7 linked regions of the Xenopus tropicalis genome follow. The protein of the gene in region 2 interacts with the protein of the main gene of each other region in a biochemical or structural test. Links are inferred from orthologs where the notes say so. Each region holds a gene or a part of one and is shown on either strand. Other genes may lie near its edges. The genes, in order: pdcd4, lrrk1, gpbp1l1, abl1, cdc42ep3, odf2 and foxp1.

What was found.
Region 1: the proteins of lrrk1 (region 2) and pdcd4 form a complex in vitro, tested with the Homo sapiens proteins (2 studies listed by BioGRID and IntAct, with this or other methods). The link is inferred for Xenopus tropicalis from reciprocal best matches to the Homo sapiens genes LRRK1 and PDCD4.
Region 3: the proteins of lrrk1 (region 2) and gpbp1l1 form a complex in vitro, tested with the Homo sapiens proteins (2 studies listed by BioGRID and IntAct, with this or other methods). The link is inferred for Xenopus tropicalis from reciprocal best matches to the Homo sapiens genes LRRK1 and GPBP1L1.
Region 4: the proteins of lrrk1 (region 2) and abl1 form a complex in vitro, tested with the Homo sapiens proteins (2 studies listed by BioGRID and IntAct, with this or other methods). The link is inferred for Xenopus tropicalis from reciprocal best matches to the Homo sapiens genes LRRK1 and ABL1.
Region 5: the proteins of lrrk1 (region 2) and cdc42ep3 form a complex in vitro, tested with the Homo sapiens proteins (2 studies listed by BioGRID and IntAct, with this or other methods). The link is inferred for Xenopus tropicalis from reciprocal best matches to the Homo sapiens genes LRRK1 and CDC42EP3.
Region 6: the proteins of lrrk1 (region 2) and odf2 form a complex in vitro, tested with the Homo sapiens proteins (2 studies listed by BioGRID and IntAct, with this or other methods). The link is inferred for Xenopus tropicalis from reciprocal best matches to the Homo sapiens genes LRRK1 and ODF2.
Region 7: the proteins of lrrk1 (region 2) and foxp1 form a complex in vitro, tested with the Homo sapiens proteins (2 studies listed by BioGRID and IntAct, with this or other methods). The link is inferred for Xenopus tropicalis from reciprocal best matches to the Homo sapiens genes LRRK1 and FOXP1.

Annotation. Positions count from the first base shown.
Region 1 is NC_030683.2:2,639,473-2,643,468, reverse strand, and holds part of pdcd4 (programmed cell death protein 4), read left to right. Parts: intron 1-2,406; coding exon 2,407-2,524; intron 2,525-2,618; coding exon 2,619-2,726; intron 2,727-3,967; coding exon 3,968-3,996. UniProt on the Homo sapiens protein: Inhibits translation initiation and cap-dependent translation. May excert its function by hindering the interaction between EIF4A1 and EIF4G. Inhibits the helicase activity of EIF4A. Modulates the activation of JUN kinase.
Region 2 is NC_030679.2:115,739,194-115,743,189, forward strand, and holds part of lrrk1 (leucine-rich repeat serine/threonine-protein kinase 1), read left to right. Parts: intron 1-1,003; coding exon 1,004-1,168; intron 1,169-2,156; coding exon 2,157-2,329; intron 2,330-2,412; coding exon 2,413-2,533; intron 2,534-2,746; coding exon 2,747-2,906; intron 2,907-3,365; coding exon 3,366-3,642; intron 3,643-3,996.
Region 3 is NC_030680.2:90,222,689-90,227,311, forward strand, and holds the start of gpbp1l1 (vasculin-like protein 1), read left to right. Parts: upstream 1-1,557; 5' UTR 1,558-1,616; intron 1,617-4,623. UniProt on the Homo sapiens protein: Possible transcription factor.
Region 4 is NC_030684.2:12,823,830-12,828,333, reverse strand, and holds the start of abl1 (tyrosine-protein kinase ABL1), read left to right. Parts: upstream 1-1,482; 5' UTR 1,483-1,883; coding exon 1,884-2,043; intron 2,044-4,504. UniProt on the Homo sapiens protein: Non-receptor tyrosine-protein kinase that plays a role in many key processes linked to cell growth and survival such as cytoskeleton remodeling in response to extracellular stimuli, cell motility and adhesion, receptor endocytosis, autophagy, DNA damage response and apoptosis.
Region 5 is NC_030681.2:42,298,295-42,303,086, reverse strand, and holds the start of cdc42ep3 (cdc42 effector protein 3), read right to left. Parts: upstream 3,166-4,792; 5' UTR 2,742-3,165; intron 1-2,741.
Region 6 is NC_030684.2:22,723,706-22,727,701, forward strand, and holds part of odf2 (outer dense fiber protein 2), read right to left. Parts: intron 2,835-3,996; 5' UTR 2,789-2,834; coding exon 2,684-2,788; intron 2,577-2,683; coding exon 2,451-2,576; intron 2,154-2,450; coding exon 1,983-2,153; intron 1,887-1,982; coding exon 1,699-1,886; intron 1,270-1,698; coding exon 1,140-1,269; intron 1,063-1,139; coding exon 931-1,062; intron 808-930; coding exon 733-807; intron 1-732. UniProt on the Homo sapiens protein: Seems to be a major component of sperm tail outer dense fibers (ODF).
Region 7 is NC_030680.2:140,892,233-140,896,228, reverse strand, and holds part of foxp1 (forkhead box protein P1), read right to left. Parts: intron 2,276-3,996; coding exon 2,189-2,275; intron 1,400-2,188; coding exon 1,198-1,399; intron 1,102-1,197; coding exon 989-1,101; intron 1-988. UniProt on the Homo sapiens protein: Transcriptional repressor. Can act with CTBP1 to synergistically repress transcription but CTPBP1 is not essential. Plays an important role in the specification and differentiation of lung epithelium.

The sequences.
Region 1 (3,996 bases), on a different chromosome or scaffold from region 2:
TCCAGCACGACAATGACCCAAAACATACAGCAAAGGCAACAAAGGAGTGGCTCAAGAAGAAGCACATTAAGGTCATGGAGTGGCCTAGTCAGTCTCCGGACCTTAATCCAATAGAAAACCTATGGAGGGAGCTCAAGCTCAGAGTTGCACAGAGACAGAAACCTTAGGGATTTAGAGATGATCTGCAAAGAGGAGTGGGACCAACATTCCTCCTAAAATGGGCGCAAACTTGCTCATCAATTACAAGAAACGTTTGGCCTCTGTGCTTGCAAACAAGGGCTTTTCCACTAAGTATTAAGTCTTTTTTTGTTAGAGGGTTCAAAAACTTATTTCACTCAATGAAATGCAAATCAGTTGCTATGTTTTATTTAAAGTTATTTTTTCCATTTTCCTTTTGATGTGCTATCTGCCACTGTTAAACCTACCATTGAAATGATACTGTTCTGAGACTTTTCATTTCTTTGTCATTGGACAAACTTACAAAATCAGTGAGGGGTCAAATCATTATTTCCTCCACTGTATGTATGTATGTATAACTTTATTTATAAAGCGCTACTTATGTACGCAGCGCTGTACAGTAGAATACATTAATATAAACGGGTATTAAAATAGATAAATACAAAGTATTACAATAAGCACAAATAAATGCTGTATCAGCGTGATCGGATGGACACCCTACAACGGTGACCCCCTTGCTGTTATTTCACTCTTGGGCTGTCAGAACCATAAGGAGTGAAGTAGACTGTAGTTCCTCTTCTTCATCTTCCTCATTGGCAGATACTGTGCGTTGCCAGATTAGACTTACAAATATGGCAGATAGATAGGTATCAGTTGGAATACTGGATACCATAACCAAAAACTGTATGTTATGTGCCCGGTCAGCAGAAGGAGCAAATATTCCCATGAATGTTTCTGGGAGAGAGATGGCTGAGGCTTATGCTAGGTCACATAAAAGAGTGGATAATTGGCTTCTGTTGCTAGTTTTACTTACCAAAACCTTATGTTGAAGAACAAGACCCAGAGAAAAGGTAGTTTAGCCAAAAAAAGGCTTCTTTTAATATAAGTCAAAATTACAGAGTCTTACTAGAAGCGTTTAGCCACACAGATTAACAAGTGTCACAAAAGGATTCAGAATGGTTTTAGTAGTCATACCCTTTTATAACCAACTTGTTTAGCATTCACAAGTACCACCTTATTTGTGAGAATCTCATAGGTTATTTCTAACCCACCCCATGAATCCTATAGGTCTAAAGCTAGCCCACCCCATGAATCCTATAGGTATAAAGCTATCCCACACAATGAGTACTATAGGTGTAAAGCTAGCCCACCCCATAAATCCTATAGGTCTAAAGCTAGCCCACCCCATGAATCCTATAATCCTATAGGTCTAAAGCTAGCTCACCCCATGAATCCTATAGGTCTAAAGCTAGCCCACCCCATGAATCCTATAATCCTATAGGTCTAAAGCTAGCCCAGCCAATGAGTACTATAGGTGTAAAGCTAGCCCACCCCATGAATCCTATAGGTCTAAAGCTAGCCCACCCCATGAATCCTATAGGTCTAAAGCTAGCCCACCCCATGAATCCTATAGGTCTAAAGCTAGCCCAGCCAATGAGTACTATAGGTCTAAAGCTAGCCCAGCCAATGAGTACTATAGGTATAAAGCTAGCCCACCCCATGAATCCTAAAGGTCTAAAGCTAGCCCCCCCATGAATCCTATAGGTCTAAAGCTAGCCCAGCCAATGAGTACTATAGGTGTAAAGCTAAACCCAGCCAATGAGTACTATAGGTGTAAAGCTAGCCCACCCCATGAATCCTATAGGTCTAAAGCTAGCCCACCCAAAAGACATTCTGCATGGACAGCATTTATACCATGAGCTGCTCGCTACTAGAACTGCAGGGCAGAGATGAGAGTAATTAAGAAAATTCATCTCTTGTTCTGTACGCCTTTTTGTGTGTATATATCATGCATGCAACACTATATTATTTAATATATTCGTGTATTAAGTGTCCCAATATATCTCACTTACCTTTAGGTTGTCTTTTTTTACACCTGTGGGGGTCTAAAGCCAGTCTGGACTGATAGCAGAGGGTCTGCTCTAAGATACCATAAACAGTTACCACTTATTATACTGGTGTAGGCCCTTTGGGGCATTGTATACTGATAATACCAAGGCCTAATTTAAAGCTCAGTCCAGACCTGGACTTTGGTCCCTTTTAGAACATACCTGTCATCAGTAAGTGTCTCCATCACTTCCATAGTGTAGGCCCGCTAAGGGCCCGAGACCCTCTTGTTTGCCCCTTTTGTTATGTCTCACTGGTGTCTTCCCCACCTTTGAACCCCATATGCATTTGCTTCTATTTATTGTTGCAATAGATAATCTATATTCCATGTTCTTATTCTAGTGCGGCGCTAGATCGGGCAGCAGTGTTACTGCGTATAACAAAGGGAGGGAGAAGAAGAATAGACAGCGTTTGGGGGACTGGCGGAGGGCAACTGCCAGTTAATAAGCTGGTTAAAGAGGTAAAGTGTTCATTAATGTGAAACTGGAGCTAAAATACATTTCTGTGTGACAGTTTTATAACGTAGCTCTTCCCCCCCCCCCCCCGTGTGACAGATTGACTTGCTGCTGAAAGAGTTTGTGCTCTCTGGGGATGTTGTGGAAGCGGAGCGGTGCCTACAGGAGCTCGAAGTCCCTCACTTTCACCATGAACTCGTTTATGAAGTAAGGACTCTCTTTTTATCCTTTTATCATTAGAGAGGTTGGGCACTGATGTTGGGGATCAGTCTCAGTCGGGGTTCCACAGGGGGTCAGTTGGGTTGCCCCTCCCCTTGCTGCTATAACTGCCCCTGCCCTTCTGGGAAGGTTCCCACTAGATGGTGGAACAGTGTTGCTGGGAGTTGCTCCCATTCAGCCACAAGGGCATTAGTGAGGTTGGGCAGTGATGTTGGGGGTCAGGCTCACAGTCGGGGTTCCATCCCACAGGGGGTCAGTTGGGTTGCCCCTCCCCTTGCTGCTATAACTGCCCCTGCCCTTCTGGGAAGGTTCCCACTAGATGGTGGAACAGTGTTGCTGGGAGTTGCTCCCATTCAGCCACAAGGGCATTAGTGAGGTTGGGCAGTGATGTTGGGGATCAGGCTCACAGTCGGGGTTCCATCCCACAGGGGGTCAGTTGGGCCCCCCCTCCCCTTGCTGCTATAACTGCCCCTGCCCTTCTGGGAAGGTTCCCACTAGATGGTGGAACAGTGTTGCTGGGAGTTGCTCCCATTCAGCCACAAGGGCATTAGTGAGGTTGGGCAGTGATGTTGGGGATCAGGCTCACAGTCGGGGTTCAATCCCACAGGGGGTCAGTTGGGTTGGGGTCAGGGCTCAGTCAGGTTCTTCCCATCTCAGCAAACCCATTCTGTATGGATCTGGCTCTGTGCATGGGGGGGATTATTGTGCTTAAACGGTAAAGGCCCCCCAAACTGTCCCACAAAGTAGGGAGCAGGGAATTACCAGGAATGTCATTGTACCCTGTAGCCTTAAGGTTTCACCAGTACCTGGGGCCCAAACCATGGTAACAGCCCCAGCCCGTTATTCCTCCTCCTCCACTTAATGTTACCATTGACATTATCCATTCAGGCAGGTTAGGTTCTCCTGGTATCAGCCCAACCCAGACTATTCCATCTGATTCCAGAGAGCACATTCCCATTGCTGCCAAGTCCAATAGTGGTGATGTGGCATTGCACAGCCTGGCATAGTTCTTGTGCCACTTTGAACTGCACAGTGAGTGTTCCAGCCGCCCCATGCAAACACAAATAAATGGACAATATTCACTTATTTCCACAACAACGCTACTTTAGGTAGTAGAGGCTTTTTGCATGACCCCTTTTATATGAAATGTTGTTAAATTCAGTGGGTGCTACACTTGACATTGCCAGTTGTACCTATACAGGTAATAACACACATGATTGTTTTGCCAGGCAGTGCTGATGGTTTTGGAAGCCAACGG
Region 2 (3,996 bases):
ATTGCTGCTGCTGCTGTCTGACATTTCCTGCTGCACACATGTTTTTTATCTGCAATTACCCCAAGATCCTTCTCCATTAAGGATTTACCTAACTTAAGGTCCCCATACACGGGCCGATTCTAGCTGCTGATATCGGTCCCTTAGACTGATCGGCCCGTGTATGGGGACTACCGATGGGCCTGCCCAACCAATATCTGGCCTGAAATCGGCCAGATCTCGATTGAGCAGGTTAGAATATCTGGCCTGAAATCGGCCAGATCTCGATCGGGCAAGGTTAGAAAATCTAGTCGAATCAGGGACTGCATCAGCTTGTTGATGCGGTCCCCGGACCGACTTTGCCTGTGCCCGTCATTATAATTTGATCGTTTGGCCCCAGGGCCAAATGATCGAATTAGCCTGGATTCTCCTGATATCGCCCACTCGTAGATGGGGGGTATCGGGAGAAGATCCGGTCACTTGGCGACATCACCAAGCCAGCGGATCTTAAGGTGTATGGGCACCTTTAGTCCCAGTAAGGTTATAGATAGCCTGTACACCACTTAGGAAAAAAGGAACCAATATATATATATAAATTTTTTAATGCACCCACACTTTCAACCTGTGGCAAATATTTTTTTGCAGTTGATTTAGATATTGATGATGTTTCTGTATGTATCTGATTAGCATTAAAGAAATGTCAAATTTATTTTCTACCACAAGATGGATATTATAACAAGGCTTGCAGCTATACATATGGACCCCTTTAATTTATATGTAATGCCTTCTAACATATTTTTAAAGCATTGCCAAATCACCTTACAAGCCTCTCTTCTTAGTAGTTTGGTGTGTGTGTGGGGGGAAACAATAGGAAGATTTAAAAGGAAGGTTGGATTGGCTTTGACTATGTTATGGAATTAGTCAATTAACCACTCTTACTGTGTTTCATTCTATTATTACAAAGGTCTGTACTGAGTAACCTGCCTTCACACAGAGCCCTTCGTGTCTCTCCCTTTTGCTTAAGTAGGTTGATTCTGTGCAGTTCCATGTGTGGGACGTTGGAGGTTCGAATGCAATGTCCGCTGTGAACCAGTGCTTCTTCACTGACAAAGCCTTGTATGTGGTAGTCTGGAACCTTGCTCTTGGCGAGGAGGCTGTTGCCAATCTTCAGTTCTGGCTACTGAACATAGAGGTAAGAGGTAACTATCTGCATGTGTCAAAGAAGATCAATACTGGCAAGGTATCTGTTATGTGTAATTCTTGGGATCTACAGTTTTCCGGATAAGGGGCCTTTTCTTAATTAGGAAAACACTCCTTAATCCTACTGAAAACATTTAAAAAAAAATAGTATTATTTTGCCACCACCGTGGATTAATGTTCCAATATTTATCATCAAGTAATTATAACAGAGAAAAAGGAAACCTGTCAAAGAAAAATTGTTTGCTTAAACATTCCTGTATTTTAGAAGTTTCTGAACAATGAGTTTACAGATAATAAATCCTATACTTGTATTGTATATTTGACTACATAAAAGATTATTAATTTATTTATACCATATTGCCCATGTCTAGGCAACTCATTCGGGCCTATTAAAGTGTTGACACACAGCTGCAATTTTGTAGGCATGATATTTAGGAGGAAAGTGGAATTTCCAATTCTATAATGAGATCAGATCTTGTCTCTGGGTTAGAGTGTTAAAGCTTAAAGGAGAAGGAAAAACAGCCCCCAGTGATTGTAATTGCTTACCCCGCGCTGGTGCTCCAGCCCAGGGTAGCTGTGAGACAGCGATCTTCTTCTGTCCGTCTTCATTCTTCCGCTTCCTGGCGCATGTGCAGTAGGATTAAAATGCTGACTTTTTTGTTAAAGTTCTGCTTTTCACTCTACTGCGCATACACAAGTGACGCAAAGACAGGAGAAGAAGAGGATCAATGTCTTGTTGCTACCCCGGGCTATTGCGGTTTTTTGCTAACAGGAGCACCAGCCAAGGGATAAGGTAAGCAATTACAATCTCTGGGGGGTGCTAAAATGTTAGCTTAATACTGATAATGGTATAGAGCTGTAAAGAAAAGTAAAAAGTTACCATGCAGCCAATCTTACTAATGCCACCTCATCTATTTTATCTGTTACTGGATTTTTTGACGTAGCCAGATTGTTTGATAAAGCTGATATCTGTTTTCCAGGCAAAAGCTCCCAATGCCGTTGTTCTGGTTGTAGGGACGCACCTTGACTTCATAGAAACCAAATTCCGGTTGGAGAGAATTGCCACTCTTCGAGCTTATGTTCTGGCATTGTGTCGCTCCCCATCTGGCTCCAGAGCAACTGGGTTCCCTGATATCACTTTCAAGCACTTACAGTGAGCACATTTTAACTTAAGGGTGTTTAATGTTATGTTACAATTTTTATGTAATTTTCTTTCCTCTGGCTTTCACTATTCAGTGAACTCTCTTGCAAAACATTGGAGGGACTCGATGGTCTGCGCCAGCTGATATTCCATGCTGCCTGCAATATGAGGGATGTAGGCAGTACCATTGGATCCCAAAAACTAGTGGGAAGGCTGGTACGTTTTATGCTCTACAAACAATATTTCAGATTAATTGAGTCAAAAAAATATTATTGGCTCAAAATACTCCATGGGATATCTCTCAAGCATGGCCAGTCTTAACACCAGAATCAGTTCTTTGCAGTGGCCGCAAAATTTATATAATTACCTTTTGGTGATGGGGTCATATCCTCTATCCAAAATCTCTGTCTTTTCTGGTTATGCAAATAGATCCCGAGAAGCTACCTGAACCTTCAGGAGGCTGTGGTAGCTGAGCAGCAGAGACGAGCTCAAGGGGATGAGGTACAATACCTGACTGATGAGCAGATAGAACAGATTATTGAACAGAGCCCTGGAAACGATATACGCGATTATGAAGACATGCAGGCAGGTATGTGACCCAAATTGAATGAGTGAGAATCAGTATGTGCATTGGAACATTTTTAATTAGGGCATTATCTGTGCTAGCTTGTGTATTTATATTGCATTATTTACATTCTACAATGCAGGTTATTAATTATTATTGCTTTTGGGCAAAGGCACGGGATGGCATCCACCTAGTACCTAGCATCTTCATATGTGGGGTATTTCTTTTCCTATATATCAGCTATATATTAGGATAATTTGGGGCAAAGGTTTCTGATATATGTGGTTTTTCCTGCCCTTAGCTACTATACAGCTTTCATTCTTTTAGTGGCTTTAGGCAGAGCTGTTTACGACAGACGCTAAAAAAAAAAAAAAAAAGAATGGGGCCTCACTGTTTTGCTGTGATTCTCACTACCACTAAAGGCAGCCCTGCCTGTGGGAGGGGCAATATCATTAATTTCCTTTTCTTCTCTGTATCCTGCAGCGATCGGTTTCTTGATAGAAACTGGGACTTTGCTTCACTTTCCTGACACTAGCCATGGCCTAAGAAACCTTTACTTCTTGGACCCTGTTTGGTTGTCAGAATGTTTGGAGAGGATTATTAACATTAAGAGCTCCAAGTCTGTGGCCCGGAATGGGGTGATTAAGGCAGAAGATCTCAGAATGCTGCTGGTTGGAACTGGATTCACCAAACAGACTGAAGAGCAATATTTTCAGTTCCTGGCAAAGTTTGAGATTGCTCTTCCTGTTGCCAATAACAGGTGGGAATATACAGAATTTATTCAATTTAACTATAAGTGGATATGCTCCGCTTTCTGTATATAGTATGTCCATACTTTTGCTATAGATACACCTAATATCAAGGAGCATGTTGTACCTGTAGCAGTATAACAGAGACTGAAACTTGAATATGATTTATATTCTAAAACTGTGATACAATTCCTGAAGCTAAGTTAAAAAGGTTTTAAAGAAACAGTAAGGGATTCGTTTATAAACAGCATTTCATTCTGTTTGTTGTATTTGCATTTTTAAATATTTTCCAGATTAATTTGTGTGTTTGAGTTGTGCGTTTCATGCTGCAAATAAATGGTTAAATTGCCCTTTGTCCAATTTAT
Region 3 (4,623 bases), on a different chromosome or scaffold from region 2:
GCAATAGATTTTGGCTTTGTTGGCAGCAGCCCTCTTGAAAGCTGGAAAGTTTAAAAAAAAAAAAAAAAAAAGCAATATACAAACTATAAAAAATGAAAAACAATTGAGAAGTTGCTATGTATAGGGTATTCTGTAACACACTAAAAGTTTAAAGCTTAATAACTACTACCCCATTGCCATAAGGACAATTTTTAAGGTCATTTTTGCCTTAAAACTGCAGTATTTTTAATTCCTTATCTTTGATAAATTGTAAAATCTGCAACATCTGTATAGTAAGGTTACAAAAATGCAGTAGTGCATAAAGGAAAATGTACCAGCACATGAAAGACATAAACAGTAGACGCCCTCAAATCATACACCACTTTGCTCACCATTGTTATGTGCTATTTTCATGTAAAACATTTTTATATACATTTTTCCTAATGCTCATAACTTCAATTACTGTGACTTCTTTGTGTGTGTGCTTATTTGTTGAAATTGTGGATGTTACAAACCAAGCACATGTATTTATGATAATATTTGAATATGCTTGTTTGTTTATTAAACTGCATGTTTATTTATAAAAACTGTATTTTCTACAGCCATAGGTCAATAACTCAGAAGGACTGCTTTTCTTTCATTAGTGCTAAGTATATTTGCTCATAGCAACCATTCATATTTTTTTTCTTTTAATTTGTAGAAAACCAGTTTATTTGGTTGCTATGCATGGCAGGACTATTGCACTATAGCATTTACATTTTGTAAGTAAACCCCCGAAGAATAAAAAGAATTGTAAATAAAGTTGAGTTTTTTGTTTTTTTTTTCTTTGCAGTTACTGCTTCCCAACTGAGGTGCCATGTTGAAAGAGGGCTGCTGACGTTTTCTTCCCCAGCACTGCAGGAATTCATATTCTGGAAGTGTATTTATCATCTGTCCTCCTCTGTGATTTACACTCAGTATTTTGGACTTCGCACTACATTACTGATGTTGAATTTAAGACAAGAAGATTTTTTTAAGTCCTGCTGTTTTTTGCTTCAAAAAGTGTTTATAGTGACCGCAGCAAAATATTGTTAGCTGCCTAGTATACAAAATAGGTGTAGTCAAGATTTTAGATTCTCTTTGCTCTTTTTTGTCATCTCTTTGTAGTCTTTTGCCTGATTAATGAAGGCACCAAATGGCAGCATTGTAGGTTTGGCAAGACAAGCCTGGGCTTCTAGTGGACTGTTGTTTGAAGGCCCTGGTTATATATATAACTAAGAAAAACTAAATGGGCAAACTGGTATGACCCACAACCATTCCACATTAATTGAAACAGAAGACTCTTTAATGAGTTGAACATCATACTTAGGATTTTTTTCTGCTCTTGCATTGACTCCTTATTTTATCCCATGTGAACAGTCTGTTTCACACTTATTTTTTCCCCCTGTGTTGCTGAAACAATCTGAAAGGATGAGCACTTAAAAAAATAAAAAGTTTGAAAATAGAAGCTGGCATGTAGTAATAGGGTATTAACCCTACCAGCCTTTTGGAGGGGCCCTTTATACCCCCTCTAGCCAAGGAATAAGAAACATATCTGGGAACTATTGCCTTTAAATAACAAAACTGGAAGGATTGGCCTGCAGTTCTCAAGGTGAGGGGTAAGTAACTGTTTTTATTATATACTTAATAATTGCTACATTGCTCATATGTGGTCCAAGTAAGAGCAACTGCTAAAGCACTGCATATAGTGGCACCCCGCAGAACAGCAGCTGCATGTAAAATGTAGTGGAATACTAAGGGGCCGATTCATTAAAACACAAGTTCGAATCCCGAATGGGAAAAATTCGGATTGGATACGATAATTTCTGAAGATCGCAAATATCAAGAAAATGCTTACGAACAAAATCGTAATAGTCACGATAATATCGTATTGGCGATCCGAAAGTCATTAAATTTTCGTACCGAACGATTGTAAACAGCAGTATAACCTTTCTGAATTTTTAGCGCGGGTGTACAGAAAAGTTGCCCAAGCGCGAAAAAAACGGCAAAAATACGATCAGAGCGTTCGAATGAACGCTCCGAGCTTTCGTGTCTTAATAAATCTCCCCCTAAGTATCAAACCACTGTTTTGCATCTTAACCATGCAGACTGTAGAACTGGGAAGAAAAGCTTTTTTGAAAGGATTTTGGTTGCTGAACATAGTATATTATAGTAAGGTAAGATGGTGACTATAAAGGTGGCCCTACACAGGCTTATAAAGGATGCCAACTCAGCCTCTAAACTAAGTGGGGTAGATATCTTACAGGTATTATCCTTGTGGGCCCCATGGCTCACAATTCAATTCAGCCTGATTTCACCCAGTATGTGGGTAGCCAACTTGGGCAGAGATATAAAAACTATATGGAACTTTAGGCTGGTTTTCCCTATGCTGTGGTCCTTGAGCTTTTTTTTTTTTTTGTGCTAATGTCAGCAGCCAAAAACAGCCTTTGGTTAAAAGGCTGTTGGTTAAACCACTTAAAGGAAAACTATACCCCCCCAAACAATGTAGGTCTATGTAAAAATATTTTTACAGAAAATATTGCATAAACAAACTCATATGTAAAACCCTGTTTCATCTACATTTTTATAAAAATATACTTTTTAGTAGTATGTGCTGTTGGGTAATCCTAAATAGAAAATTGCCATTTTAAGAATTAAAGGACAAGGAAAGTCAAAATCTATTAAGCACACTATTCAATAGTACTACTCATATGTAAAACCCTGTTTCATCTACATTTTTATAAAAATATACTTTTTAGTTGTATGTGCTGTTGGGTAATCCTAAATAGAAAATTGCCATTTTAAGAATTAAAGGACAAGGAAAGTCAAAATCTATTAAGCACACTATTCAATAGTACTACTATTGCTTTGTAAAAATGCTATATTTCTGGCTTGCCTAATGAAAGATTTACAGAGATACACCTACTACATACTCGTTTCAGTGAATGGCGCCGCCATCTTTAATAAGGGATTCCCACTTCCTTTCCCTCACCGTCTCTACTGCGCATGCATCCCCAACATCCTCCTGCATCCCCTCTGCGGCTCCCCCAGAACCCCACTGCTGCGTACTCGTACTCGTTTCAGTGAATGGCGCCGCCATCTTTAATAAGGGATGCCCACTTCCTTTCCCTCACCGTCTCTACTGCGCATGCATCCCCAACATCCTCCTGCATCCTCTCTGTGGCTCCCCCAGCACCCCCCTGCTGTGTCCTTCTGTGTGTGGCTGCATTCTCTTGTTATGGCCCCGGCTCGCCCCTGCATCCACTTTTTATATAGCGCGTCACCATAGCAACCGGACGCTTGCTATTGGTTCATGCTCGTAGTGGGAGTGACAGAGGGTCCGTGGGAAGGGAAGCGATCCTGCTTGTGCTTGCTCACAGAAGATCTAAATGCTTACTAAAGAGCTGGTCTTAGTCTCGGTGCAGGAGCGATGCATTATGGGAATCTTCTCTACCCAGCTCAGCGTTTTTTCTTCCTGTTTGGCTTCTGATCATCTAACCGGTTGAAATATGGGGAGGCTTAAGGGCACTATTGAGACAACTGAAGGTATGCCTGCAGCTTGAGATTAACTCTTTATTAGCATTTCCTTCTCCTTTAAAGGCCACCTCCTGGTATCATAGGATTCACAGTGCACACAAACAAGCCAAGGCACACATACATGCTAGGTTATCAGCCAATGAATGGACAGAGTTCTGTTTTCTGCTTCCACAGCCCAACCAATCAGCAGAACAATGGGAAGGGAGCAAGATAGCAGCTCCCATTAGATATCAGAATAGCACTCAATAGAAAGAAATCAAAGTCTGGCTTGCGACTCCCCCAGTTATTTCCTTTTTCTTTGTAATTATAAAACAGTACCTTGATCATAACTAAGATATAATTAATCTTTATTTGAGGCAAAACAATCCTGTTAGGTTTATTCAATATTTAAATGATTTTCAGCAGTCTTAAGGTATGGAGATCCTAATTACGGAAAGATCCCTTATCCAGGAAACTCCAGGTCGCTAGCATTCTGGATAACAGGTCCCATACATGTACTACACGTTTTTATTTTTGTCTTTTGTTGGTAGTATTAAGATGCAGTCATTTGTACTCTGTACAACTAGCCATGTAACCTACAGCTACTCACTGTCTCCTTAAAGGAGAAAGAAAGGCTTATAAAGAGTTAATCTCAAGATACAGGCATACCTTCAGTAGTGCGCATATGTCTCCCCATATTTCTCCTGGTCAGATGATCAAAAGGCTGAGCTCTGTAAAGAAAATTCCCATAATGCCAGCTGCTGCACCAAGACCCCTGTACATGCCCAGTTTGTAAGACTATGAGGAAGTTTCCTGCTGATTGGCTCAGATCACACATTCCTAAGGGGGGAGGGAGTACTTAGCATTCTTGAGGAAGGAGGGAGCAGTAGAGAGGAGAGAGCTGTGCAGACTCTGGCACTGGAATTACAGAGACAAGAAATCCTGTTTCTTTTGATAAAGGACAGTGCAGCGTTTCTGTGAGTGCTTATGGCTGTATTTACATAGACCTTTCTGATAAAGCTTACTTAGTTTTTACCTTTCTTTCTTTTTCTTTAAACTCTGTGGGTCTGCCCACATGCTGGACCTCAGGGTGGGGCTTGAACATTGAAG
Region 4 (4,504 bases), on a different chromosome or scaffold from region 2:
AAAATAATAATCCGATCGTTTGGCCCTGGGGCCAGACGATCGGATTATGTGGGTGGCAATGTGGCAGTCGGATCGGGGACCGCATCAACGAGCCGATGCGGTCCCCGATCCAACCAGATTTTCTAACCTGGCCGATCGAGATCTGGCCAATTTCAGGCCAGATATCGGTCGGCCAGGCCGCTCTGCTCTCCCCATACACGGGCCGATTAGCTGCCGAATCGGTCCAAGGGACCGATATCGGCAGCTATAGTCGGCCCGTGTATGGCCACCTTTAGCTCATGTAATGGCTACAGACACAGGAAAATATCAGTTTATCAACCATTCTAAATTAGTTACAATAGAGATATATCACACCCAAATCTAACCCCTAGTGACCTTCAGGCTGGGCTTTTGAATGACCATCCCTGCCGTAACTGATCAAGGTAACCCACCTCCTACTGCTCCTGTGCCTAGAAGAATGCATTGGCTGGCATATAGATTATTTCGGATTTGGCTGGAGAATGTTCCTGAAACTCATAAGTTCCATAGTTCATTAATATATGAATGAGAATTCCTCATTGTTCTGCTGTAAACTGTGTGTGTAAGCTTTCTTCTGCTTGAGATTCCATTATCTCACCTCTCTAATAGGGAAGGTAGTACAGCATATATACCCGCCACAAGGAAAGATGGTTACTCAGGCCTTGCTGAGCAGATTAGGACTTTGCAGTCCAAATCCTGGTTGGGTAGCCTGCTCTAGTGAGCAAGTATTCTTGCTCTCCCACCTCCAATGGTAATGCTATTTAGTTGCCCTTAACTGGTTGATCTGCCTCCGGATTCATGTCACTTTCGGCCCACGGTGACATCACTTCCGGTTTTCCTGGGTTACAGGGTTGGAAGGTAATTTAACTCATTGTGGATAGGTTTGGGTTGCAGGTCTGGGAAGGGGGTATAGCAGGGTGGGGGGGGTACAGACCCATGCAGGTATCTACCTGGCTTAGTCCTAGATCTGCTGAAGACCAGGATGGGTTTTAGGAGGATACTAAATGTATTGCAGAACCAGATATATCTATAATGCTGCCAGCCAGGGCACTACAGGAGGCAGGCGTTTTTTATCATTAAAAACTTGGAACGATCTGGATCTATTAGCAATATTATCTCTCAAGGGCCACCATACAAAATGCATGGAAATCACCTTATTAGTAATCATTATTCCAGTTCAGCCCAAATATCCCCTTATCGTTTTCTGTGTGCAAATAGCTATTGTACTCAGTGCTGTGCACAGTATCCCCCTGTATATCTTATGCAGAGATGGGGGGAGTCTGAGGTCCCCATAACCAGAGCCATCAATCAGAGCTGAATTACAAGTCTCCCCACTAACTTTCAGCCTGGGATATTGGGAGAGAGTTCGTCAGGCTGGAGGGCTGAGCATCCAGGACAGGGTTAACAATGCTCTGTGCATATGTAGGCGTTGCCAGACCTCGGATGTCATCACTAGAGGCAGCCAGAGCATGAAGGGGGCCCTTTGTTGGCAGTCTAACGTAAGCAGCTCTCCCTGCCTAACACAGCCTGCCTAATGGACTGAGAGAATGAGCAGCGGAGGAGTCCCACCGTTCTGCAAGAACTTAGCCTGAAGAGTACCCAAGTTACACTTTTCTGCCTCCGGGACCCCCCCTCCTATAAAAATGGGTGAGATTGACCCCCAGGGGTCGGTGGCGTGAATCCCTGCCACCCAAAGCATCAGAGAGCCTCTCCGAGCCGGGGGCCTTGGGCTTCTTTGCTTCTCTTTGGCTTTTGCTGCTTTCCAGTTCCATAAAGGAGGGGAGTGAACCACAGCCCAAGTGCGTCAAACAGACTTGGAATCGACCAGGGCCAAGTGGCCTGACCCGAGCTGGTCTTCTCCTCGCATGCTGGAGGGTGGGGAAGGGAAGAAAAAGTGCAGGAGGCAGCAGAAGGGAGCGGGCGCATCCTGCATGCAACACATGAAAATGTTGGAAATCTGCTTGAAGTTGGTGGGTTGCAAATCCAAGAAAGGGCTCTCCTCGTCCTCCAGCTGCTATCTCGAAGGTGAGATAAGGGGGTGTCAGTGGGGAAAAGGGGTTGGGCGGAGGCAGAAAGGAGGGGGTTCCACTGGCCCAGGATTTGGCCGCAGCCAGCTGGAGTGCTCCAATCTCTAATCCCCTTCTCCTAGGCCTCAGCACAGATTAGATGAAGGCTGCTTCCCCCCTCGCTCCAGGCAAGGATTACATAAACATTCAGGCTTGCCTGGCGCTGGCTAGCTGGGACGGCCTAGCAACAAAGGGGTTAATTAACCCCGTGCAGCTTGTGTCACTACCACTCCCAGCATCCTCAGCTGGCCCAAAGTTCAAAAAACAACCACTCGACCCGATGTTGGGCGTTTTCTGGCCAAAAAAAAATACATTTTTATAGCATTTCCCACATCCTGTCATGCGTTTGCTTAGGAATGGCTGATCATGGGGTTCCTGGAGATGGGGGGTCGATAGGTAGTGCCCCTCGAGGATTGCTGTCATCTGGGGCTGGCACTCCACCTGTGGGAACTAAGTCCCACTGCCAACTTGCCCGCCTTCCCCTCGGCCCCCGCTCCACCGCAAGTTTATTTTTCACTTCTTCTGGTGTCCTCAGGCTGCAGTTTTACTGTTCCACTTGCGTCACGGAAGGAAGAATCCATTCTATAACCCACTCTCTCCCATGGGGGGCAACAGATGGAGTAGCCAAAGGCCTGGAAACCTTCTGTTATACCCACAAAGCCATCGGGTTCTGTTTGTTTATACGTGCGAGTGGCAGCAGCCATATTGTTTGCCTTGTCCAAGGCCACGGTTTCTTGAACTTTTTCTCAGGGGGCCCAAGTTACCATATACAGCTTAGGACCCAATTGAGGGTCCTCACCCATGCATTTACTGTCTCGGGCCTTTGCTCCCTATGGAAAGTGCCCCAGCCTAGGCAAGCAGTGTGGCAGCACCCACTCACGCATCTTAACAAACCTGGGCCCAGTTTGGCCACCCACACATAGGGCCAAATTGGACTGATCCAATCATTGGCCTGGGGGCCTACAGGCCCATCAGATGAGGACCACATTCACACACCAATTTTCTCCTAGGATGGAAACATTAACCCTGCCCAATCGATATCCTGTCCATTCTTGGTCAGATATCATGCAGGCAGACCCCTTGGTGGGGGGCCCCATACACAGGCCAATACATTGCTGACTTTGGCCAAATTGGTCAATTTGGCCAACTTAAATTGATGGTTCACCTTTGCATTAACTTTAAGTATGTTATAGAATGTCCTATTCCTAGCAGCTTTGCAGTTGGTCTTCATTGCTTATATTTTTTTTATAGTTAAATCGATTGCTCTGCGAGGCTGCAATTTATTGTTAATATTACTTTTTATTACTTATCTTTCTATTCAGCCCCTCTACTATTTATATTTCAGTGTCAAATTTAAAACCAGTGCCTGGTTGCTACGGTAAGCAAGACCCTAGCAACCAGATAGCTGCTGAATTACCAAACTGGGAGAGCATCTGAACACAAAGCAAAAAAAATGAAAACCAATTGCAAATTGTCTCAATTACTTCTTGCAGAGCATAATGAGCGAATACAGTTACCGATAGCTTTGTAACCAGTGACCGCGAGGGATGAATTGATATTGAGAAGTTGGTTTGAATTGGATTTTCTGTCATTAGGCAACTTTTTATATTTGGGTTTATATCCCCTTTAAATATGGCAAAGTGCAAGTGGCGCTACCAGTTGCTTTCCCGCACACCCAAGCCCCGCCTCCCCGCAGCCCCAAGCCCCGCCTCCCAGCAACGCTTGACAGAAAGTTTTCTGTTTACTCTCCCTCCGGCGCTTATTGCAAAACATCACTATTTGTCCAATTTCTCCCTTTTTTTTTTGTCTGTGCGAGCGCTTATTATCGGCAGCGGAACCAAATCGCCGTGGCGGGGTCGGCTGCGCATAAACAGGAATATTGTGTTAATCATTTTCATTAACTCGGACGTGATTTCCTTCATTGAAATTATTGGCTTCACTCGAGAGATTTGGCTATTATGTAGGCTCGTTCCATTATTGGCAGAAAGGGGGGGGGGGAGAGAGAGCCTGCTGTTCTCATTAACTATTTCAGCACCCGGGGAGACGGAAATAGTGATTATGGGAATGCCATAGGAATTATTATTAGAGGAGCAGAGAAAGCCATCGCAAAAGGGAGGCCAGAGGTCATTTCACCTGCGCCGCTGAACTGGCGGCTTCATCTGGAAATTATTCTTCTTGTTCCCCCCCAGGCACTCAGAAAGGCAATTATCCTGACCTCCTTCAGTTCTAGAGATAAAGGGACAGGCTGTGTGCATTATAAAGTACTGCCTGGTACTGCCCCGGGGCCCTGGGCTGTCACAAATAGGCAACAGTAGTGCCTGGTACTGCCCCCGTGCCCTGGGCTGTCACAAATAGGCCACAGTAGTGACTGGTACTGCCCCGGGGCCCTGGGCTGTCACAAATAGGCAACAGTAGTGCCT
Region 5 (4,792 bases), on a different chromosome or scaffold from region 2:
GAAGTGCCACTTGTACTGTGACATGTTGGCAGGAGGGAATTGAGTGTGAGCACTTGAGCCTCTGACAGCCCAGCAACTTTTTTTCTATCTGATGGTTGACTAATTGAGGCCTTATTCTGTAGCCTAGAAATTTGTTTTTATTAGAGTAAAAAAATGGTCAGTCACCAAAAATTCATATACATTACAAAAATGAATTACACTAATACATCACCAAGGCCCCACAATGTACCAATACACACACAGCTGTAAGAATTCCTATTCTTCCTGCAGAATCCTGAGCATGCACACAGACATATCCTGCTACGTGCAATAAAATATATACTCACTTCCTACCATCTCTCCATACACTTCCTTCTAAGTCTAAGGGCACACAAGGAGATATGTGAGCATTTTGATGTCACTACTTTTCCATGGATTGGCATATATATATATATATATATATATATGGACTTGTTGCCTATTGGTTCCTTCTATACACATCTGGAATTGGCTGAAGCAGTTCTGCCAAGTATTATGCAATTAGTGTGCCAGTCATGCTTTCAGACCTGCCCAAGCTGTAAGGGTTAAAATCATGCAGCTGCAAAATCCATGTCAGTCAACAACCTAATTGGCTAACTGATCATCAAGTAACTGGCCAATCAGGTTAGTATAGCAGAAAACTGCAAAAAGTGACTGTTCGCAAGTCCCACTCATCCCCCACCCTCCCTTGAGGCCTGCAGAGCAGCAATGAAATTGCTTTTGGCTCTTAGGTATTAGTTAGGGGGGCACTGGAAGGGGTGGCATTTTGTAGCACAAAAAATGTTGCGTCAGTTGTCTAATATGGGGGGTTGATACATTCTGACATTTCTGCTGAAGTAGGACATCCATATTACCTCCATAGACAGCTATGTTTTCTGATGATAACTGAGCAGCTGTGCAATACTTTAGGAGAATCCAGTTGTCCCCCGTAGGAAACAGTAGTCACAAATCCATGTCTTTCACCCTAAGGTGGTTACACATAATATAATCAACATGTCTCACTAATGACTCGTCCCTAATTCTCAGTCCATAAAACACAAAGTATTCTAATAATGGGCAGGCACAGGCAAATTGCCCTGCTAGGAGACATTTCTGAAATAGCAGCCACTGTCCTCCCTGTATTGGGTTGAACTGGTGAATAATATTCATATCACCGCAATCAGGGCACACCTATATCTCTGTGCCTACAATGAAGAAATAATTAAGCGCATTAATTCTGCACTATAAAACCATAATGTAAGCATCCACAGGGTTGATTCGCTATGCACGTTATTAATGAATGTCTTCCACAGCAATTAAAGATGTGTAATTAATTTTCACACAAGCAGGAGAAATATTGTTTGTTCAGTGGAAATATAATAGAGCAACACACACCCACATTCATTAAACAAAGGCTTTTATGCTGAGCTGCAATCAGACACCCATGTAGTTATTAGAGAAACAGACGAGTCGCTGGGCTGGAATGAGGAGCATGCATATCTGTACACATTCCTCTGCTAGCATCTCAAACATGACATGCTTGGCCTCTGTCCATATGGTTAGAATAAAGTACTAAGTGCATGGATAATAAGGACATCTCCATCAGCGCTGCCTTTAGTGGTGGGGCCCATGGCAAGAGTCTAACCTATGGTCTTAACTACAATTTCCATGTCGGGCTGTTGGACAGTGCTGGGAGTTGTACTTTAACAGCAACATAAGGTTGGGCAACAGTGGCATTACATGCATTACTCACGAATCAAAGACCTGCTGTCCTTCACTCTTCTGACCTTGCACCACTCTATCTTTTTTTTTATGTTATATTTCATTAAATCCTGTTCAGCTATTGGTTTCATTCAAAATCCTAGTAATTAGATTTCACTGATGACAAAATATAATTGTGCTCATAAGTGAACTGGCCAGTAGCACAGATTAGCTGACATTCTGCCAACAACGTGCTATTTCTGTCCTGACTCTCTACTCAAACAGGGGGCACATATGCAATACATGAATGCTTTAACATATCAGCCACATCTTCAGGGTCATGCAGGCACAGACCCCTAGCCCACCCTTGTCTTAACCCTTGTCTGGCAGACCTATAGGTGCCTTAAATCCCATGTATTATTATTTATTACCCTTCATTTATACACAGTTTAGATGCCATATTTAAGTTAATGCAGAACTGTTCAGTAGATCCCAGTCACTAATAGGTTACAATCTGATGTATTTATCTATTTTTAAGGAGGGGGGTGGGCTGAGACATACAGAGATTAAGTGACTTGCCCCAGGTCACAAAGAACCATCACAGTTAAAGTGCAGGTCTGACTCCTGAGTACCACAGACTTAACCCTTTACAACCTATAGGAGCTTGAGATGATAGATACCTATAGTGTATATTTTATTCATTTTACATTTACATTTATATAGTGTATATTTTATTCATTTTAGGCATATATGTCTCAAATGCAGCCATATATGAGGTAAATACTGTTTTCCCCAGAAATCTAGGAGGGCAATAAATCCAGCACCCATTCTCTTAATGGAACACCGGATTCCCAGGGGGTTTAATTATTTTTTTCGGTACTATGGTTCCATTGCTGTATGATTAGGGCAGCCCAGAGAAGCAGTGTGACTGTGCAGAGCCCTATATTACAGATATCATCATTCTACATAATTCCAATATGAGATTGATTGGTATTCAATAGGGGGTATATGAACGATGCCAGCGACCAAGCCTACTGACTTACCGCTCTGTGCCAGGGAAATGCTTCTCTCTCAGCTCAGATCGCTTCCCCGATCCCGATTCTCCCAATACAATGTGGGGATGGATCGCTCAGTTTGCCGGCAGCTTCCTTCTGTCTGGCAGCGATTAAAGAGACCCCAGCGTTAAAAGGAGCAGAACAAGGGCAGCTGCTCCCAGACACCTCCCTTCTACACCAGCCGAGACGCGGCACCATTTACACCTGTGCCAGTCCTTCAGTCGCCCAGACCCGGCTACCAGATGCCTCCTTGGTCTGTCAGAAAAGAAAGCAGGGTCCGCATTTGCCCATTCACCCTGCAAAGTTCTCTGTATTCGGCACTATGGGGGCTGTTTAAGGCAAAAGGGTGGCAGCGCAGGCAGTCGGAGTGGAAGGAATCTGAATTAGATGCCGGTTGTGAATGAATCGCTCGCTGCTGCAGTGGAAAAGCAGCTAATGAAGCTCTCCCGGCTCTGGCTGCTTTAGTCAGTGGCTCGGCTGTGGGATAGGGGCGGGGCCATAGCAGCTAGTGGCTACATTCTCTGGTAATCATCCAGCATGGCAACCTCACTGCTCAGCAGCCTGCTACTCTCTACTGTGTGTGTGGTAATCATCCAGCATGGCAACCTCACTGCTCAGCAGCCTGCTACTCTCTACTGTCTGTGTGGTAATCATTCAGTATGGCAACCTCACTGCCCAGCAGCCTGCTACTCTCTACTGTCTGTGTGGTAATCATACAGTATGGCAACCTCACTGCCCAGCAGCCTGCTACTCTCTACTGTCTGTGTGGTAATCATACAGTATGGCAACCTCACTGCCCAGCAGCCTGCTACTCTCTACTGTGTGTGTGGTAATCATCCAGTATGGCAACCTCACTGCTCAGCAGCCTGCTACTCTACTGTCTGTGTGGTAATCATCCAGTATGGCAACCTCACTGCCCAGCAGCCTGCTACTCTCAACTGTCTGTGTGGTAATCATCCAGTATGGCAACCTCACTGCTCAGCAGCCTGCTACTCTACTGTCTGTGTGGTAATCATCCAGTATGGCAACCTCACTGCTCAGCAGCCTGCTACTGGCTACTGTCTGTGTGGTAATCATCCAGCATGGCAACCTCACTGCTCAGCAGCCTGCTACTCTCTACTGTCTGTGTGGTAATCATACAGTATGGCAACCTCACTGCCCAGCAGCCTGCTACTCTCTACTGTGTGTGTGGTAATCATCCAGTATGGCAACCTCACTGCTCAGCAGCCTGCTACTCTACTGTCTGTGTGGTAATCATCCAGTATGGCAACCTCACTGCCCAGCAGCCTGCTACTCTCTACTGTCTGTGTGGTTATCATCCTGTATGGCAACCTCACTGCTCAGCAGCCTGCTACTGGCTACTGTCTGTGTGGTAATCATCCAGTATGGCAACCTCACTGCTCGGCAGCCTGCTACTCTCTACTGTCTGTTTGGTAATCATCCAGTATGGCAACCTCACTGCTCAGCAGCCTGCTACTCTCTACTGTGTGTCTGGTAATCATCCAGTATGGCAACCTCACTGCTCAGCAGCCTGCTACTCTCTACTGTGTGTCTGGTAATCATACAGTATGGCAACCTCACTGCTCAGCAGCCTGCTACTCTCTACTGTCTGTGTGGTAATCATCCAGCATGGCAACCTCACTGCTCAGCAGCCTGCTACTCTCTACTGTCTGTGTGGTAATCATCCAGCATGGCAACCTCACTGCTCAGCAGCCTGCTACTCTCTACTGTCTGTGTGGTAATCATCCAGTATGGCAACCTCACTGCTCAGCAGCCTGCTACTCTCTACTGTCTGTGTGGTAATCATCCAGTATGGCAACCTCACTGCTCAGCAGCCTGCTACTCTCAACTGTCTGTGTGGTAATCATCCAGCATGGCAACCTCACTGCTCAGCAGCCTGCTACTCTCTACTGTCTGTGTGGTAATCATCCAGTATGGCAACCTCACTGCTCAGCAGCCTGCTACTCTACTGTCTGTGTGGTAATCATCCAGTATGGCAACCTTACTGCTCAGCAGCCTGCTACTCTCTACTGTCTGTG
Region 6 (3,996 bases), on a different chromosome or scaffold from region 2:
CTGCGTTGGGAACATGAAAGCAATGGTTAGCTTGGGATCAATGTACAGGTCCCCAACCTTTTTTTACTCGTGAGCAACATTTAATTATAAAAAATGTTGAGGAGCAACACAAGCATGAACATTTCCTAGGGGGTACCAAAAAGGGGCTTTTTTTTTGGTAGCCCAATGTGGACTGGCAGACTACAGGAGGCTCTATATGGCAGTACACATTATTTTATGCCTCCAAAATGTGCCTTCAAGCCAGAAATTAAAAAATGGGCACCTGCTTTGAGGCCAATGGGAGCAACATTGAAGGGGTTGGTGAGCAACATGTTGCTTGCGAGCCACTGGTTGGGGATCACTGATGTACAGTAAGATCTATATGGATAAGAATATATATATACCAACAGCTCATGCATGCATTTAAGTCCTTGGGAACTAGAAGTGATTTCAAGGTTTAGGTGGCTACCCCTTAGTATAAACCTAATTATCTCTGCACTCAACTGTTGATGGCATCCCTTCAAGGAAGTTAGAAAAGCCAACTTGTCAGTGCTAAAATAAATAACTCCCAGTTCAGATTCCAGTTGCAAAGAGGTTGCTTCTAAGAGCTTACATTGATCCCTAATCTTGTATGGCAGGAAATTCTACTGTAACATTCCCTAATCTGTACTTCTCTGCTGGGTGGGATGCCAGGCACATAGACATAGTTCTCACTGAATCCTATCTCGCTTGTGTACCACTTTTCAGACCTACCATTTTCTCTGTGTCAGAGTCAGACAGTTTCTTCAAAAGCATTTCCTTTTGCTCCATCAGTCGGTATGTCTCTGTCTGAGAGGAACAGAAAAAAAATTCACAGTCGTTACTGCAACCATGATAGAAAAGGCCTATGGCATGCACAACGTTAACCAATTTTACTGCCTTACTCACTCCCAAGCTGTATACAGCGCCTACCTCTTGACGGTGCTGCTCTCTCAGTAGCACTCGCAGGCTCCTGTTGGTGTCCTCAAAGGTATTTAGTTTTTGTAGCAGTAATTCCTTCTGCCTGGTGAGGAGGTTAACATCTGTACTTGTCATCCTCTTTTCCTGCAGACAATAGGGGGGGTTAGGAAGAGGCTTTTTCTATTGAAGAAAGAGTACAAATGTCTGTGCGGGCTACGTACATGCTTTAGTCTCTGAATGGTGTCACTCAGCAAGGCCACTTGTCTCGCTGCCTCTGTCCCATCAGTTTCAGCTTCTAATAACTTAGCCAGAAGATGAGATTTCTCTTCCTGCAGCTGCTGCTTTTGAATTCTAAAATATCACAAGAGAACCCATTATTAAGATAAAACCTGAAAGAATAGAGATTTATCAAGATCACGGAATTAAAAGAAACCAGTATTTAGTTCAGAATTGACTGTATAATTAAACAGTCTGCCCAAGGGGAACTCTGCATTTTATTACCCTAACCATGATAGTGGGAATGTTTTCAGGTAGCACATGCACCTGTGCACCACATTCAAAAAAGTACTTCCTCTAGTATTTATGGAACGTGATTTACAAAATTTGTAGAAAGAAGGTTTTGCTATCCCAAGCCTTGCAAGTTAGTCTCTCCCTGGACTTGCCAAAGCAGCGCCTACCAATAAGAACCAATCGGTTCTGTGGAGTTAAACCAGAGTAGGCTGGCTGGACATTAGACTTAGAAAGGAGAGCTTCTGTCCTAGGATTACTGCAAATACTTACATACTTAATCCCTTCTCTTCCTGGATTCGATCAAGGTTTCTTTTTAGCCGGACATTCTCATTTTCTGTCTCTGCAAGTTCCTGGGACACCTCAGCCAGTTCCTCCTGCTGGGCCTCCAGTAACCGCTTGGATGCAGCAAGTTGTTCTTCACATCTCCCCAGATATTTTTCCCTTTTCTGTAGCTCTAACTAATAGCAGACAATGTTGGCAGGGACATTGGTCTTTTTTCAATGTATACTCTGATTACCCCAAAAGCAGGCCTGCAGCCCACCCATTACCCTCACCTCATGTTTCAGCGTTCCCATTTCACTCATCAAAGTGGCAATTTTTTCCTCATAAGAGTTCATCTTGCTGAGCTTCATTTCTTCTTCATCTGTGGACAGGTCACTCAGTCTTAAAGCTGAAAACATTTTTTCTGTATCTGGAGGTGTGATCTCTAAGCGATGGGTTAAGCCCTGCAGGTGGAAGGCATAAGCAGCCGCCATTTTATAGGGGAATTTAGGCTCAATATAAATTTTTGGTATGTTTAATAAAGAGAGACATAATCTAGGTAACTTTGCAATCACTGACTGAACATTAATTTTACTGATATCTCCTTTACTTGCACTACAGGAAGCAGCAACTGTCTCTTCAGTGGCCATTAAGAGCAGGGCAGTGCCCCAGATAATTCTGTAACTTCCCAAACCCCTTCAGTACTAAAAACAGGCTGCAGAGTTAGCATATGTATCAATTATAAGTAAAAGGCAATATACCTCCCACTTTAAACTTGCATCTCGCAAAGAGGACTTCCCGGGTGGGATCCATGGAACTTTGGTCTTCACAGTTGCACTCCGCCGGAGATTTCCCATCCCTCCTTTCTTTTTTAGCTTAGCTATGTGCTGTGCAAAAGACAGGCAAAACATTTTAAGTTGCTGAAGTTCATTATTAAGATGATTTCTAACGTTATGATGCGTCTAGATCAGTATTTGGTGAGTAATATCCCCACCTGTGTCTTTGCAGGGGGTCTGGAAGCCTTTTTAATATGGACATGGACTGGCGTGCTTTCATCGACATGAACATGCAGCGGTGGAGATGGAGAGCGGTTTTTCATTGCCCTCTTCTGGAGGGAGCACTATCAGCAGTAACCGGTGGCAGATCTACAACACATAGCAAAAAACACAAATTGATGCATGACTTTGCTCCATCAGTGTTGCTCGAAATGTCACTTCTAGGTGCAGTGGCTTTGTCATGTTCTTGCACTGCATTATGGCATCATCACAGATAGGACAACATCTTTTGGTGCCATTTTACTATAAAAAAAAAAACTATAAAATGGGCGTCCAATTGAACGTAATCCTTGTGAGTTCCTAGGTGGGCTATCTCTGATCTCTGGTGTATTGACTTTTTTTCTGCCTGTTCCAGACAATGCTTGTCATATGCCTGTCTTTTGTATTAAGCTGATACTTTTGTTGCTTGAATTCTTCCAATTCTCTATCCCCTCCCACCCCACCCCAGTGTTTGTGTTACTCCTATGTCTCGTTTTTCTTTACTTCCTGGCAGCCTCGCAGCATGGAATATGAAGAAATTACAAAATAATAAATTGATCATTAGGAAAAGATCTCGATTTATCCAGATCTCCTTTATCCAAAAAGCTCCCAATTACATGAAGGCCATCACCCATACACTCCATTTTAATAAAATCATTTGAATTTTTAAAAATATTTTCTATGTAATAATAAAACAGTACCTTGTACTTTGATCCCAACTAAAATATCATTAAATTAAATCTTTAAACAATACAATCTGTAAAACAATACAATACTATTGGGTTTAATTAATGTTTAAATGATTTATTAGCAGACTTGAGGTATGACTATCCAAATTACCGGAATACCCAAGGTCCTGAGCATTCTGGATAACAGGTCCTATACCTGTACTATGTAAAACTATCTTCTTAAGGAAGAGACAGTCAATATGGGAATTCCTAATCCTGAAAATGGCTGAAATGTCAGTCCCTTGCTCAGTGACGTGATTAATTGGAATGTCATACAGATGGCTCTGTATTTAGTTATATTTTCCTTTTTTGTGAATCTCTGTTCCACAAAGCTATATGAGCTTTGGTGCCTAAGGCACAGATATATGACAAAAAACATAAAAACCTGTCTTCCTCTCTTAGAATTTTGAAACTACCATAAGTCACTTAACCAAAAATGAAACACAAAACTCGGTAAAAGGATGAACTACAATTTTGTTAGTTATTCTACACTCAAATTCATACCAAATGCTATAAAACTATTACATTTTTCTTAAAAATCAGTG
Region 7 (3,996 bases), on a different chromosome or scaffold from region 2:
CCCAACTAAGATATAATTACCCCTTATTGGGGGCAGAACAGCCCTATTGGGTTTATTTAATGGTTAAATGATTCCCTTTTCTCTGTAATAATAAAACAGTACCTGTACTTGATCCCAACTAAGATATAATTACCCCTTATTGGGGCAGAACAGCCCTATTGGGTTTATTTAATGGTTAAATGATTCCCTTTTCTCTGTAATAATAAAACAGTACCTGTACTTGATCCCAACTAAGATATAATTACCCCTTATTGGGGCAGAACAGCCCTATTGGGTTTATTTAATGGTTAAATGATTCCCTTTTCTCTGTAATAATAAAACAGTACCTGTACTTGATCCCAACTAAGATATAATTACCCCTTATTGGGGGCAGAACAGCCCTATTGGGTTTATTTCATGGTTAAATGATTCCCTTTTCTCTGTAATAATAAAACAGTACCTGTACTTGATCCCAACTAAGATATAATTACCCCTTATTGGGGGCAGAACAGCCCTATTGGGTTTATTTCATGGTTAAATAATTCCCTTTTCTCTGTAATAATAAAACAGTACCTGTACTTGATCCCAACTAAGATATAATTACCCCTTATTGGGGCAGAACAGCCCTATTGTTTTAGCAGATTTGGAGATCCAAATTACAAATAGACCCCTAATCCGAAAACCCCAGGTCCCGAGCATTCTGGATAATAGGTCCCATACCTGTAGTACATTATAGTTTCATTACTTTTATAATTACTTATATAAACGGAGGGAGGACGTCCTAATCAGCCCATGCACAATGAACTGCCCCAATGTTTTACTCTGCCCAATCCCCAAAGCAACTATTACCCATTGTACGTGGATATCTCTTGGGTGATAATAATGTGATAATCATTATACCCATATACCCTTACAACATGCCCCCTAAGGGTGCGGAAGGGAAGATTCTCACCACCAGAAGTGACATTAGCCTTATAATAGCGCCAGAAGGAAAGGTTTGCTCACTTACCTGCCTAATTAAAGATGCGTACGTGAAGGGTGGTCTGACTTCAGCATTTTTGTAAAACTCTTGGTTCTGTGCAATGTCTGGCAACGACAGAAAGTCAACAGAGATCATCCAATCTGAATGCAAGGACAATATTGTCATATAGCAACTGAAACAGAGACAGTTTCTTCATCTCTCTCGAAGCATTCGGGGGGGGGAAAAGACCAACTCACCGGAAGAGATGGGCACGTTGTATTTGTCAGAGTACCGCCGCCGGATGGGCCCCACGTTGTGGATGCTGGTGGTAGTGATGACAGAAGGTCCTTGGGTGATGGGAGTGAGTGGCGCGGTTGGGGTGGTGGGAGTATGAGGTAAGCTTTGTGGGGACGCTTCTGACACTGTCTTTGAAAGGGTGGCACTCGATACTAGGTTCAGCTGGGGAGAAAACACCACATAAGAACAGGGCTTAGTCCATTGACACTAACTTGCCTATTCTACAGGGATATAATCAGCAAAAATACAGCCTGGAAACAAGTGTAACGCTTAGCAAAGTCAAGAAGTGTTGGGAAAAAATGAATTTATATAAACTTGGGTAGAGAACCAATATAGCTGTGCCTCTTTCCTCCCTCTCATTAAGCGGCAGTTAGACAATGCTTAATGGCCAAGATTCTAGCTATCTGTATAACAGAGCATTCTGTCACAGAAGTCATAGATCCCCCCATTGTAAGCCGCAGTCCTGCCCTGCTTTATGGCTGAGATTCTAGCTATCTGTATAACAGAGCATTCTGTCACAGTGGCACAGATCCTATCTGATCCCCCCATTGTAAGCAGCAGTCCTGCCCTGCTTTATGGCTGAGATTCTAGCTATCTGGCATTCTGTCACAGAAGTCACAGATCCTATCTGATCCCCCCATTGTAAGCAGCAGTCCTGCCCTGCTTTATGGCTGAGATTCTAGCTATCTGGCATTCTGTCACAGAAGTCACAGATCCTATCACCCATTTGTACATCACTATAGCATGCACGGCTCACAAATAAGTGAAATATATTTTTAAAAAGTGAAAATACCGGATGGTTAAGTGGCACCTAATAAAACTGGCCCTAGATTGTGCAATTGTGATGGGGACCTTGGACTATAAGCTCCACTAGGGGAAGGGACTAGAGTGAATTTTATGTATATATATCAGCCCTATATCAATAAAGGATAATAATAATAATGATAGTACCCCTTTAAGTATGCCAGTGAATCCTTCCTCCAGCTGTTGGCTACTATAGATCCATCCATTCTCCCTACTACATGTAGTGTACAACTGCTGGAAGAAAACGTGTGTTTGAACGTTCTGTGCGCTTAAACATTACCGCTCACACTCACACAGAGGGTATAGTGAACTTTCAGCCCTACTCACCAATAAATCATGGCGGCTGGCAAGTTTAAAGCCTGACCGGCTTTGGGGGATATTTAAACAACCTGCCACTTTGTAAACTCTACCCATACGAAGGATCTAACCAATTAAATAAACGTTCTTATTTGTTGATTAAATACGATGTCAACCCCCGTGTGTCGCCTCAACGCAACGTCCGCTCACTCTAACCCCCAACTCCAGCGGAATGCAAACCCACCATAGGCGCCTAGGAGCTCGCGCTCCGTTCTTACATTAAGCAGAACACCGTTATTAATTCAACAATGTTCATTTCATTTTTTTCCCCCCCCCGTCCCAGGCTACTTTTTTTTTTTTTTGGAAAAATATCCAGAATCTATAAATCAAACACTTTATACAGCGCCGTTAAACACTGCAATCATTCAGCCTTATTACCGTGTCACGGGTTTTTATTTCTTTTTACAATAAATTAGTTATACGTGGAGAAATTCTGCTACAAAAAAAAAAAGCGCATAACCGTATTATTTGCCATTAAATATAATTTGCCAGCCTGACTTTGGAACCGTGCAAGCCTGAGCCAAAATATTAGGTCATGTTACAGAAAGGTATATGGTATTAATCATATAAATTCCAGTATTTCATTAATTGATTTGGAAAAAAAAAAACGGGACCTTATCAGAACGTGATTGAAACATTAGTTCCACGGAGGACAAGAAACACGACCGCTCCAACGGGGAAATGAAGCTTCTCTTTTTCTACAGAAATATCCATAGTTGGGGGTTCACAACCTTGTTGGAATTCTAACACAGACTGGTTTGTATAAACGAAAGGGAGGGGGGGAAAAAAAAATACCCAGCAAACGTGTTATAAAGAGAGAAATCGGAATTGCGGTTCTTTTCATACACGGTGACCTCGCGGGTTTCCTCCGCTCACGTTACCGGCCCAGTCACTGTTGTGATTTCACGATAACCCAATAGTACAGATACAAGTCACGCTGTATTTTAATAGTCTATTAAATAATTGTCGGTGTTTTCTTTTCTCCTGTTAAATGGGACACAGATGTTCGGGTTTAGGTACGCAAAAAAAAAAAAAAGTACAGAAGTGCTAAAAGGTGGTTTTCTTTTACTTCTTACACATAAAGGGCAAGTACATTGACTCTTTTGACTCTAAAAAATATTTGCAAATAGCACGGACGCAACTGGGCATATTGGACAGGGTAGCATATACCATTGACTATCACTTCCTAAGGGTTGATAGAAGGGTGAGATACAATGAAGTAGCAATTAAAGCTAGAAGGGGAGGATTGGTTCTATTTAAAAAAGAAAAAAGTAAACTTAGATCAGTAGGGTGATTATAAGTCATGTATAGAAATCTGGTCAAAGTAAGGGGCCTATGATTAAGTGCGCATGCACAAAACGCGTCAGGTGTATTTTAAGAATATGAATAAAGACTAAAGTTTTACGATATTTCCTGGCTGTCCGGTGTGCTTTTGCAAGCCGTTTTTCGAAGGATTTGATTGGTTCCCTCAGGCTACGGGTTCAGGGCTCTAGAGCACCCGGACCACATACAGACGGGCGGTGAGTTATGCCTTACTGTGTGATTACTTATTGGAAGTTGGAGTTAGATGCACTCGGTGATGGGTCTGGGGTATATAC